Arabidopsis thaliana: one gene and its partner. The protein of the gene in region 2 purifies or fractionates together with the protein of the main gene of each other region. This does not show direct contact. Each region holds a gene or a part of one and is shown on either strand. Other genes may lie near its edges.

Evidence for each region. Proteins that work in one complex are often made in the same cells at the same time.
Region 1: the proteins of AT3G07920 (region 2) and EIF2 GAMMA fractionate together in Arabidopsis thaliana (co-fractionation; one large-scale study listed by BioGRID). This does not show direct contact.

Annotation. Positions count from the first base shown.
Region 1 is NC_003070.9:1,094,107-1,098,981, reverse strand, and holds the start of EIF2 GAMMA (eukaryotic translation initiation factor 2 gamma subunit), read right to left. Parts: upstream 2,101-4,875; 5' UTR 1,862-2,100; exon of another isoform or gene 1,696-1,861; intron 1,584-1,695; 5' UTR 1,560-1,583; coding exon 1,451-1,559; intron 1,364-1,450; coding exon 1,302-1,363; intron 1,183-1,301; coding exon 1,070-1,182; intron 984-1,069; coding exon 881-983; intron 604-880; coding exon 376-603; intron 265-375; coding exon 46-264; intron 1-45. Other genes in the region: XIB (myosin XI B), read right to left, coding at 2,836-2,947, 3,015-3,178, 3,261-3,317, 3,408-3,464, 3,539-3,635, 3,805-3,875, 3,953-4,081, 4,240-4,431 and 1 more.
Region 2 is NC_003074.8:2,523,897-2,528,771, forward strand, and holds AT3G07920 (Translation initiation factor IF2/IF5), read right to left. Parts: upstream 2,334-4,875; coding exon 2,280-2,333; intron 1,943-2,279; coding exon 1,785-1,942; intron 1,667-1,784; coding exon 1,524-1,666; intron 1,433-1,523; coding exon 1,347-1,432; intron 945-1,346; coding exon 891-944; 3' UTR 524-890; downstream 1-523. Other genes in the region: AT3G07910 (reactive oxygen species modulator-like protein), read right to left, coding at 80-152; AT3G07930 (DNA glycosylase superfamily protein), read left to right, coding at 2,824-3,849, 4,209-4,520.

The DNA.
Region 1 (4,875 bases), on a different chromosome or scaffold from region 2:
CTTAAGAGGCACAACAAGAGAAAGGGAGAGAGAGAGAATAGATACCCGTAGGATACTTCCACCTGCAACTCCACCTTTGATCTCATCAACCTCATAACCAGGTTTGTTGACATCAAAAGACCGAATCACTATCATATTTGGGGGTGACACAAAATTCCTCTCAGGGATTGGGATCTTCTTGACAATGTACTCGCACACCACATCAATGTTGTATTTCAGTTGTGCTGAGACAGGGACGATCGGAGCAGCATCAGCAACAGTGTTCTGCAACAGGATGTGAAAGAAATTTTAGAACCAAGTTCTTCAATACTTAGCTTAACCAAGTGACGAAATGAGAATGCTACAACAGATCCTTAAGAGATAAGAAAACCTAACCATTATAAATTTCTGAATTGCCTCGTGCTGATTAATGGCAACATTCTCTTGAATAAGATCAATCTTGTTCTGAAGGATGATGATATGCTTAAGTTGCATAATCTCAACGGCAGCAAGATGTTCAGACGTTTGTGGTTGTGGACAAGTTTCATTTGCAGCGATTAAAAGTAGTGCACCATCCATGATGGCTGCTCCATTAAGCATTGTTGCCATGAGAATATCGTGACCCTGAAGAATAGAACAAGAATACATTCAACAAGAATGAAGTAGAGATAAGAAAAGCAAAAGATGGAAACATCAATGAATACTTCTCCATCAACCCTCACTCTTTAAGCCCTTCACCCAATTAAATGAGAGACCCAAAATCATGCAGGTGGAGCACAACAACATCGATAATACACAATAAACGAACAGCTCATTGACACATGAAATGGTTATACACTTATACTATCAAATGAAAATGGTAATTAATGAAGAATAAAGATAACGGTAAAACTCATCATACCGGGCAATCAACGAATGAGACATGCCTCAATAGTTTCATCTTGGAGTTTTCAAATCCGGGGACATCACAATTGGGAGTGTCTTCCTTTCCACTTCCGTAGGCCCTAATACAACAGATAAGTTGTTAGACCTTGACTCAAACCTTATAGTAGAAGTAGAAGATAAAAACACTGTTGTAAGAAGGACTCACTTGTAGCACATTGGTCTAGGGCATTTCTCATCCTCACATTTGTAAATCTTGGCGTTTGCATATCCAAGCTTAATGGTAATGTTACGCTCCAATTCATTTTTAAAACGGACAGTCTGTACAGAGAAGATAAGGAAACCATAGAAATCACTTCACCCACTCCAATTGATCAAACGCTGCAAGCTAGAAAAGCCTCTAGGATTACAATTGTGAAAACCGCATAATCAAATTTTACCTGGACACCAGAAATAGCTTTAACAACAGTGGACTTTCCATGAGCGACATGACCAATGGTTCCTGAAACATAACACTATCATCTTTAGCTTATAGGAACTGCCAGTTTCTTCAACATCAACTTATATAAAAGACTCAAAAAAGCGTTACCTATATTAATAGTGGCCTGGCGAGAAATGACCTCAGGAGACAGAGGATGTAGCACAGTTACATCCAATTTTTTAAGATCTTGCTCAGCCAAACCCTTGTTCCTCGACATTATCAAAGATTGAAGCTTCTGCTCCTGCTTAAAACCGAGCATCAAATCAGAACCCTAACCCTAGTTAATCTGAAAAAGACTACTTCTCAGGTTTTTCTACATCTGCCCTAATCAAGTCGACACACAGATTCTATACCTGAGCTCCGTTACCTAAATATCACAATAATTTCGATTCGCAATCTAAAAAAACATTATGATTACGATTAGATTCCCCGAACTAATCTTCGTGCGATAGAAATGGGAACAATTAGGTTGAACAAATATTGAATCCGTAGGAGATGTAATTCGAGATCGAAACGAACCTGAGCGATGCGAAAGAACAACGGAGAAGGTCAAATTTGAGAGATAAAAAAGAGTGAGAAAGCGGCGCAGCTTGAAGAAGATGCACAAAATGGTTTTTTTTTTTCTATCCAAGTCCCTAAAGGGTTTTTGGTTTCCTTCGCGTAACCTTTTTTTTTTTTCCCTTTCTAAAATTTCTTACAAAATAATGAAATACTAGTATTTAATTAAATTACTATCAGTAGAGACTAATTTACTTTTTCTATGAATCAAAGTATCAAACCCAAAACATTTCATCATATTAATTTTATGTGCAGGGCCGGCCCGACTAAATTTAATGCCTAAAAGCAAAAAACAATTTGGCCCAACATAAAACACAGTTAAACAAAAAAAACCATAAAACTTTTAGAATTCGAACTTGAGACAGACACCTCAAGTGAAAGGCCTATTTGCGATCGACTATAAGCGTTCGTGTTCCTCTATCTCTCTCGGGTTTGTCAATTTATCTTTCCGAACCAGTTATGAATTTGTTTTTTTTTGGAAGGTTTTGAAGTCTTTGAATCTCGGCTGTTGAAGTCAGAAACGTTGGTTTTAAACCAATATCACCAGGTGTAATGGAGTTTGATTGAGTCCCAAATTTTTTAAAAAAAAATCACTGAAAAGAGTTGGGGCAAGTTTATAACAAATTAAGTAGATTAATTCTGTACAACAACAACAAAGGATCTTCATCGTGTAGAACTTGAGCCGTGAAAAAAAAAAACCAGATAATAATCTTGGGTCTAAAATGGAGAAAAAACTTTGAAATGGGGTCAAATAAATAAATGAATGAATTGGTGAGAGAGAAATCACAGAGGTTTTGCAAGAAAGAAACAACCCCACAAGAAGTAAAAATTTACACTTTTGTAATCTTCTTTCCTTTTGGTTCAAGAAGGCACCCCTCCCCCACTCAGACTAAAAAGAAACAGAGGAAGAGCTTTTTTAGAATCCGAGCTTCTCACTAGTGCAAGAATACGAATTCTGGGTTTTCCAGTAGCTCTTTGGCCGGTTTGACACTCGCAAAGTCTTTTTCGTGCATCGAATTCGAAATCTCGTCTATTGAGAAGGGAATGCTGCGAACAATAAACCGGTTTTAGTTTCTACTACTGATATTAATCTTTAAGAAATGATTCGAGTTACCTGGAATTATCATCCAACAAGAAGGAATTGCTGTCGGCATCGTTGGATTCTTCTGTCATGAGCGCACGCATGCTCGATATTACCTCTTGAGACACACTTCGGGTGTTATAGCAGTCGTCCCAGTATAATGTGCATATCCGGTAAAGTTGTTGGACACTAAGGATCTGTAATAAAGTGAAACAAGAAAGCCATTAAGTATGGAGTCTAGGCAAAAACGTGTTTCTAGAAACTAAGAAGGAGCTTTACCGGGCAAAGATCATGTACTATATCATCGTATGATACTCTGTACTTCTGGTGGATAACCTGATAAGTTACGAGAGGAGAAGTATTCGTTTTTGAAGATTCAAGAAACAAGAGTTCCACAAGTTAGTATTAAACAAGAGTAAAACATACCAGGAACCCAACAGCTTGTCTGATGTGTTTCAGTTCATCCCAAGATGGCCCAGCATACTGCAAAATCAAAGAATGATATAATGAGCCGAAAGAAACTTTTTCCGGAAGGAAAACGTGAGGTAGGAACTTACTTCATTGACTTGGCCGCACCACAATTCTAGCTCTGCAAGCCCAGACTTTACAAATTCTCCATTGCTGAATGTACAACACTCTTTACGCAGTAGAAGGCTATTGTAAGATGTTAAGGAAAAAACCAAGTAAGAAAACACTAGTGATCTTGGCTTATATCTTCCATAGGAATTTGAGAAATATCAACCATAGGAAGGTTTGTACTTTGACGAGTATCGATGATAAGGTGTGTAGAAACCATTAGATGTAATTCTCAAGTATTATTTACCTGTTAAATAGTTGCACATTGACGAACGAGAAAGTTTGAGTGTGTATCTTCTGGATGAGTACCAAAGGAACCTGTACACCATGAAACATATGAGAATTTGAGGATTTGAAAACAGAATAATGTCATGGAACTTTTACTATTTCCTTACATAATTATCTTTCAATATGGCAAGCAGCGAATTGAGACCATCAATAATGCTCTGCCAGTGAATAGCAGGAGAATCTTTTCCAAGAGATCTAGCAGATCTTTGTATCCCTCCTTTTGAAATTCTCGGTGCCTGAAGTTCAAAGTTTTGACAGAACAGGACTTGTTACAATAGTAAAACACATTTATTATCAAGGTGCAACGCAACAAGCGAGTGGTCACAGCATTAGGATACAACAACGTAAAGTCAGGACAAAAATATATAGCTGCAAAGAGAGAAGTCAATGAAACCTGAATGCACATAGATATTAAAGCTGAGAGCTCTTTCTTCAAGTTATCCCTAATCATCCCAAATATTTTCTCCACATATGCTGCAAGCTGTTGCTTGAAAAGCAGAGCCGGGTATTTTGCCTCCACTGGGCGGATCACCGCAAGAGCAGCAGCTTCAGCCGCAGCAGCAAGGTTTGGTGATGAGCGGAAGCTCTGGTTAAACAATAAGGGAAAGGATAGTTAAGATTCAAAGTAAAAGATCCGTCAAAAAGCCCTACTAACACAGAAAGTTAAAATACCAAGGCCATTCTTCCAAACAAGGAAGTTGTTATGGGTGGCTTCTTGCTTGCCGTTGCTCCGGCGCCAGCAGGTTTAAGACTTTTTTGAAGTAAAAACAGTAGTGCCGATGTGTTTGTCAACCAATACGCCAAATGACCATTGTCATCTTCATTCTGAAAAGAAAAAAATTTCAGTAGAGCAGCAATTGTTACTTCCAAATGATAAGACAAACAAAAAAAAGGCTTATACTCCTCTCCACTAGATGATTAGTGTATGATAAAAGGATATAAGAGAACATACAACATATAGTGTCAAATTAGAAAGCAACGGCTAGTTGAATCCTATCTCAAGCAGGTGACATAATAAGTTATGCAAATA
Region 2 (4,875 bases):
ACATTTAAAAGGCGATTAGATTGTAATTCTAGGGTTTAGGTTTTTTTTTTCCAGAATGTAAAGGAAATCGAAAGCGTACCTACTGCGCCGCCAAGAGCGCCGCCAACGGCAACTCCGGCAGTGATTTTGGCCAAACAGCTATTTTTCGCCATCTTCTTCTTTTTAGAGACAATTCGTTTCTTGTGTCGGAGAATAGTTTTTTACGGTTGCCCTCGCCGCTTTTAAGGTTTTTAACTTTGAAGTTTTTGCTTACGCAATGGATTGATTTTGCCTTTCGCTACAAGGTCGAGCCACAACACCGACCTGTTCCTTAACCGGCCTAACCGATTCGAACCAAATTTCTGGAAAGACGTCATTGGTTTACTTACAGCTTTACCCAATTTACTAATTTACCCACCCGACTCCACCGGATCTTAACCCAACTAAGCCGGCACTATTATTTTTTGTTATAAGTTTAGCAAAATAGACATTTTAATTTCATTTGGAAACCAACAATTATTTAAAAAATTTACACTAATATTTTAATGTGTTAGTTACTTTGATATAGATTTTGGTTTATGGTAATTTACATTATAAATAATAAAAGGGTCATATTCTTTTAAGAATGTTGTTTATCGAATTAAATGAATGTTATATGGTGTAAAGAAAATTTAGAGAAGGTTAGTTATTGGAAAAACATATGTTTATTCAAAGGGAAGCTAATTGCTCAAAAATAAATGTGCCGGCAAAATCCAAGTCAAGTCAAAGCATTAGCAAGTTAGCAGAATAAGAAGGAGAAGAAGAAAAGCATGACCTCACAACTCCAAAACATGTTCTTTAGTAATTAGACATCTCAAGAAAAGACGACTACTCTCTACTCACTTGAGCTACCAATATATCAATCACTTGAGCTACCTGCGACCAAAATTGATTTTGATTGGCGCCACAGGTCGTCCTGATCCACACTGTCAAAACAAACCCCATACGTTCATATTTGCAGAATAGCAAAACAAAATTGGATACTTCTTAAATACTAGTATTCAGACAGTAATTACTCATTTACTTGCTCAACCAAATTAGCTTTTATCATGCAGTACGTAGGCAAAGATATCAGCATCACATCAAGATGATGCAATATAGTAAGCCTCCGAATGAGTTTTGTATCACTCTTAACTACGTAATATCAGACACTAATGTTGGCAAATTCCTGACTAGGTAAAAGAAACAGCAATCATCAAAGATAGGCATTGGCTTGTTAAGTATCAAGAGAAGAGAATTTTCTTAAGCAGCTTTCCTATTCAATCACGCAGAAAGCAAAAAATAAAAACTTGTCCAAGGCAAGAGAAGCTAATTGGGTAGAGTTTTACCTTTCCACATCTCAAAAAGAAGAGACGATTCTCCTTTGAAAGAATTGCCTCTGTGCTCTTGCAAGGAATGCACATGACGTAGTCAACTGAAATTAACAGCAATTAGAGAAATCACTTTAAGAAATCAACAGAAGGATGTTTAGTTGAATCCTAATCTTGAGAGGAAATGTTACTTACGGATATATCCTCGTAATAACGATTCAAAGTCCCTCTGTGTAAATCTCCCCCTAACAACCAACCTTTGCTGATCATCAAGTTTACCCCTAGTACCCAGCTCAGCAAGCAAGAACGCCATAACATGATCAGGGTTTCGATGCATCCTGAAAAAGTTTTAGTTCCAAATACAAACATGAAAACTCACTACGTTCTAGTAACAATGGTTCCAAAAGTAAAAGTAAAAAAGTTTGAAGGGGCAGAGATATGGTAATTTCTTCATACGTCTTGCAATAGTCCATAAAGTTGACAAAGACTGTCTTCTTTGTGCCTTTCGCTGTCTCTTCACGAAGAACTTGTGGTGGCCATATAATTGTAAGAAGCCAAATTCCAACAAGCTCCGGACTATTTTCACGCAGGATATTAAAGACCCTACGAAGAATCTGTACATATAATTCCCATCAGAAAAAGAAAAAAAACAAGCAGGAAGAAGTATGCATTGACTTAAGGAAAGAATGCTCCAAAGCAATATTTATATAAGTCGCACGTTCTAGTAACCAAAGAGAATCATCTACCAACTATGCATGCTTAATACAAGATCCTGAAGTACAACTGTTTACTTGGTTTTCATTTTTGGTTGGGTCAAAGGATAGCTGATGTAAAAGGGCAACAACAACAATCAAACCAAACGAAAAAGGAAACAAAATCTATTGTCTTAATTTAGGGAATTAATCAAGGAGTCCTTGTAGACAAAAACAAAATGTCAAAAGCCAAACTTACTTCTTGCTCATCATCCTTCACTTCTTTCTTGTTCTCATTACTTTCATCAGCCATGATTTACTGCCAAGAAAAGCATTCAGAAAACAAACCAAATACTAAAATCAAGAATAGAATGTGTATGATCATCAACAACAAAGATTGGACTCTGTTACCTAAAACATGATAAGTAGTAATTTCTATTCCGAGTCTAAAACATGATAAGGATTTACCTTTGGTAACGAAACCGCAATGCAAGATTGGTCTTAACGAGGAAAACACAAGCGAGAGAAGCTATGAAGACTGCGTTTCCCAACCCTAATTTTTTTTCTTTCTCAAAAGCTTTTTATAATTAAAAAAAAAAAAACCATAATTTTTTAGATTTTTGCCACAATTTAATTCGTAAAACAAAAACGTAATTGACACAAAAAGAGTCTAAATTTACACACTGACGGCAAAAAGGGATATAATTTATCGACAAACTCACAAAAGTATCGGCGAAGAAGAGATTGGATTCTCTGTTTCAGTTCCTTAAGAGTTTGAGGAGATTCTCTGTGTATAAATTGAGATGGTTCCTCCCATAATTTATAAGTATAAGCGAAGGAAAGATCGGCGACTTGGTAGGGACGATGATAGTTCAGTGATGATGACTCGTCGGAGACCCGACTCCGATTTTATCGAGGTAAGTGATGAGAATCGCTCGTTTGCTTTATTTAAGGAGGATGATGAAAAAAATCGTGATTTGGGTTTAGTTGATGATGGTTCCACAAATTTGGTTCTTCAATGTCATGATGATGGTTGTTCCCTAGAGAAGGATAATAGCAATAGCTTGGATGATTTGTTCTCTGGGTTTGTTTATAAAGGTGTGAGGAGGAGGAAAAGGGATGACTTTGGAAGTATAACAACGAGTAATCTTGTTTCTCCTCAAATTGCTGATGATGATGATGATAGTGTTTCTGATTCACATATTGAAAGGCAAGAATGCAGTGAATTTCATGTTGAAGTAAGAAGAGTTTCTCCATACTTTCAGGGATCTACTGTTTCACAACAGTCCAAAGAAGGGTGTGATTCTGATAGTGTTTGTTCCAAAGAAGGATGCAGCAAAGTTCAAGCTAAAGTCCCACGAGTTTCTCCATACTTCCAGGCATCAACTATTTCACAGTGTGATTCTGACATTGTTTCTTCTTCTCAAAGTGGAAGAAATTATCGGAAAGGAAGCAGCAAACGTCAAGTTAAAGTCAGAAGAGTTTCGCCATATTTCCAGGAATCAACTGTTTCAGAACAGCCAAACCAAGCTCCTAAAGGTTTGCGTAACTATTTTAAGGTTGTGAAAGTTTCAAGATATTTCCATGCTGATGGAATCCAAGTCAATGAATCACAAAAGGAGAAATCAAGAAATGTGAGGAAAACTCCTATTGTGAGCCCTGTACTCTCGCTTTCTCAAAAGACCGATGATGTATACCTGCGAAAAACGCCGGATAACACATGGGTGCCTCCACGATCTCCATGTAATCTGCTTCAAGAAGATCATTGGCATGATCCATGGCGGGTGCTGGTCATATGTATGCTTCTCAACAAAACATCTGGTGCACAGGTTTTTCCTCATTTCTATCTCTTTTTATTCCATATCTTTGGTGAACATAAGTAATTAGCATTTGAGACCAATTAGTTTAAGTGGATGTGTTTAGTGTTGCCATTGCTTGTTGCATATTTTCTCAGTTAGTTACAGGAATTAGTACTCGAAAATCATTCTTGAGGGAAGTCCAAAATTTGTTAGGAAGTAAGAAGTTAGACCTCTGTGCGCTTGAATCTTTCAATTTTAACTGTTGCAGAAGAAGTAGCTGCAGTTTTTGGTTTGATAAGTAATTGATTATCAATGATTTGAATTGCTTGGTCTTGTTGAATATGGTAGAAGAAAAGGCTTTGTAAATTTATTTTAAAAGGTGATTGCAGACGCGGGGAGTGATATCAGACTTGTTTGGATTGTGTACTGATGCAAAGACTGCAACAGAAGTTAAAGAAGAGGAGATAGAGAATCTAATAAAACCTCTTGGATTACAAAAGAAGAGAACCAAAATGATTCAACGGTTGTCTCTAGAGTATCTTCAAGAGAGCTGGACTCATGTCACTCAACTGCATGGCGTTGGAAAGTATGCAGCGGATGCGTATGCGATATTCTGTAACGGGAATTGGGATCGCGTGAAGCCTAATGATCATATGCTAAACTATTACTGGGACTACCTCAGGATTCGGTATAAATTATGAATGAGAAGGTACAAGTATATATTTGTCCTAATTTGCTCTGTTTTTTGTTGTTGTCAATGTGTAAAAGTTGTAAATGAAAATCTTGTCTTATACTAGTTTGTTATATCATATATTGGAATGTGTTTTGGTATCATCTATGGGGTTTTCTGTGTTTAATATTGTCGAACACCTAAGATGGGGCATGATTGTTGATAATGAAAAGCTATGCGACTTTCTCAGGTTCTTTTTCTGTATTAAAAATTAAGTTAGTTCTTTGTTAGATTAGGCACCAACTATATAATAATTCAAAGAATGACAATGATGAGGCAACTACTTCTATGAGCCAAATCCAAAAGTAAAAACTCTTTAAAATAAC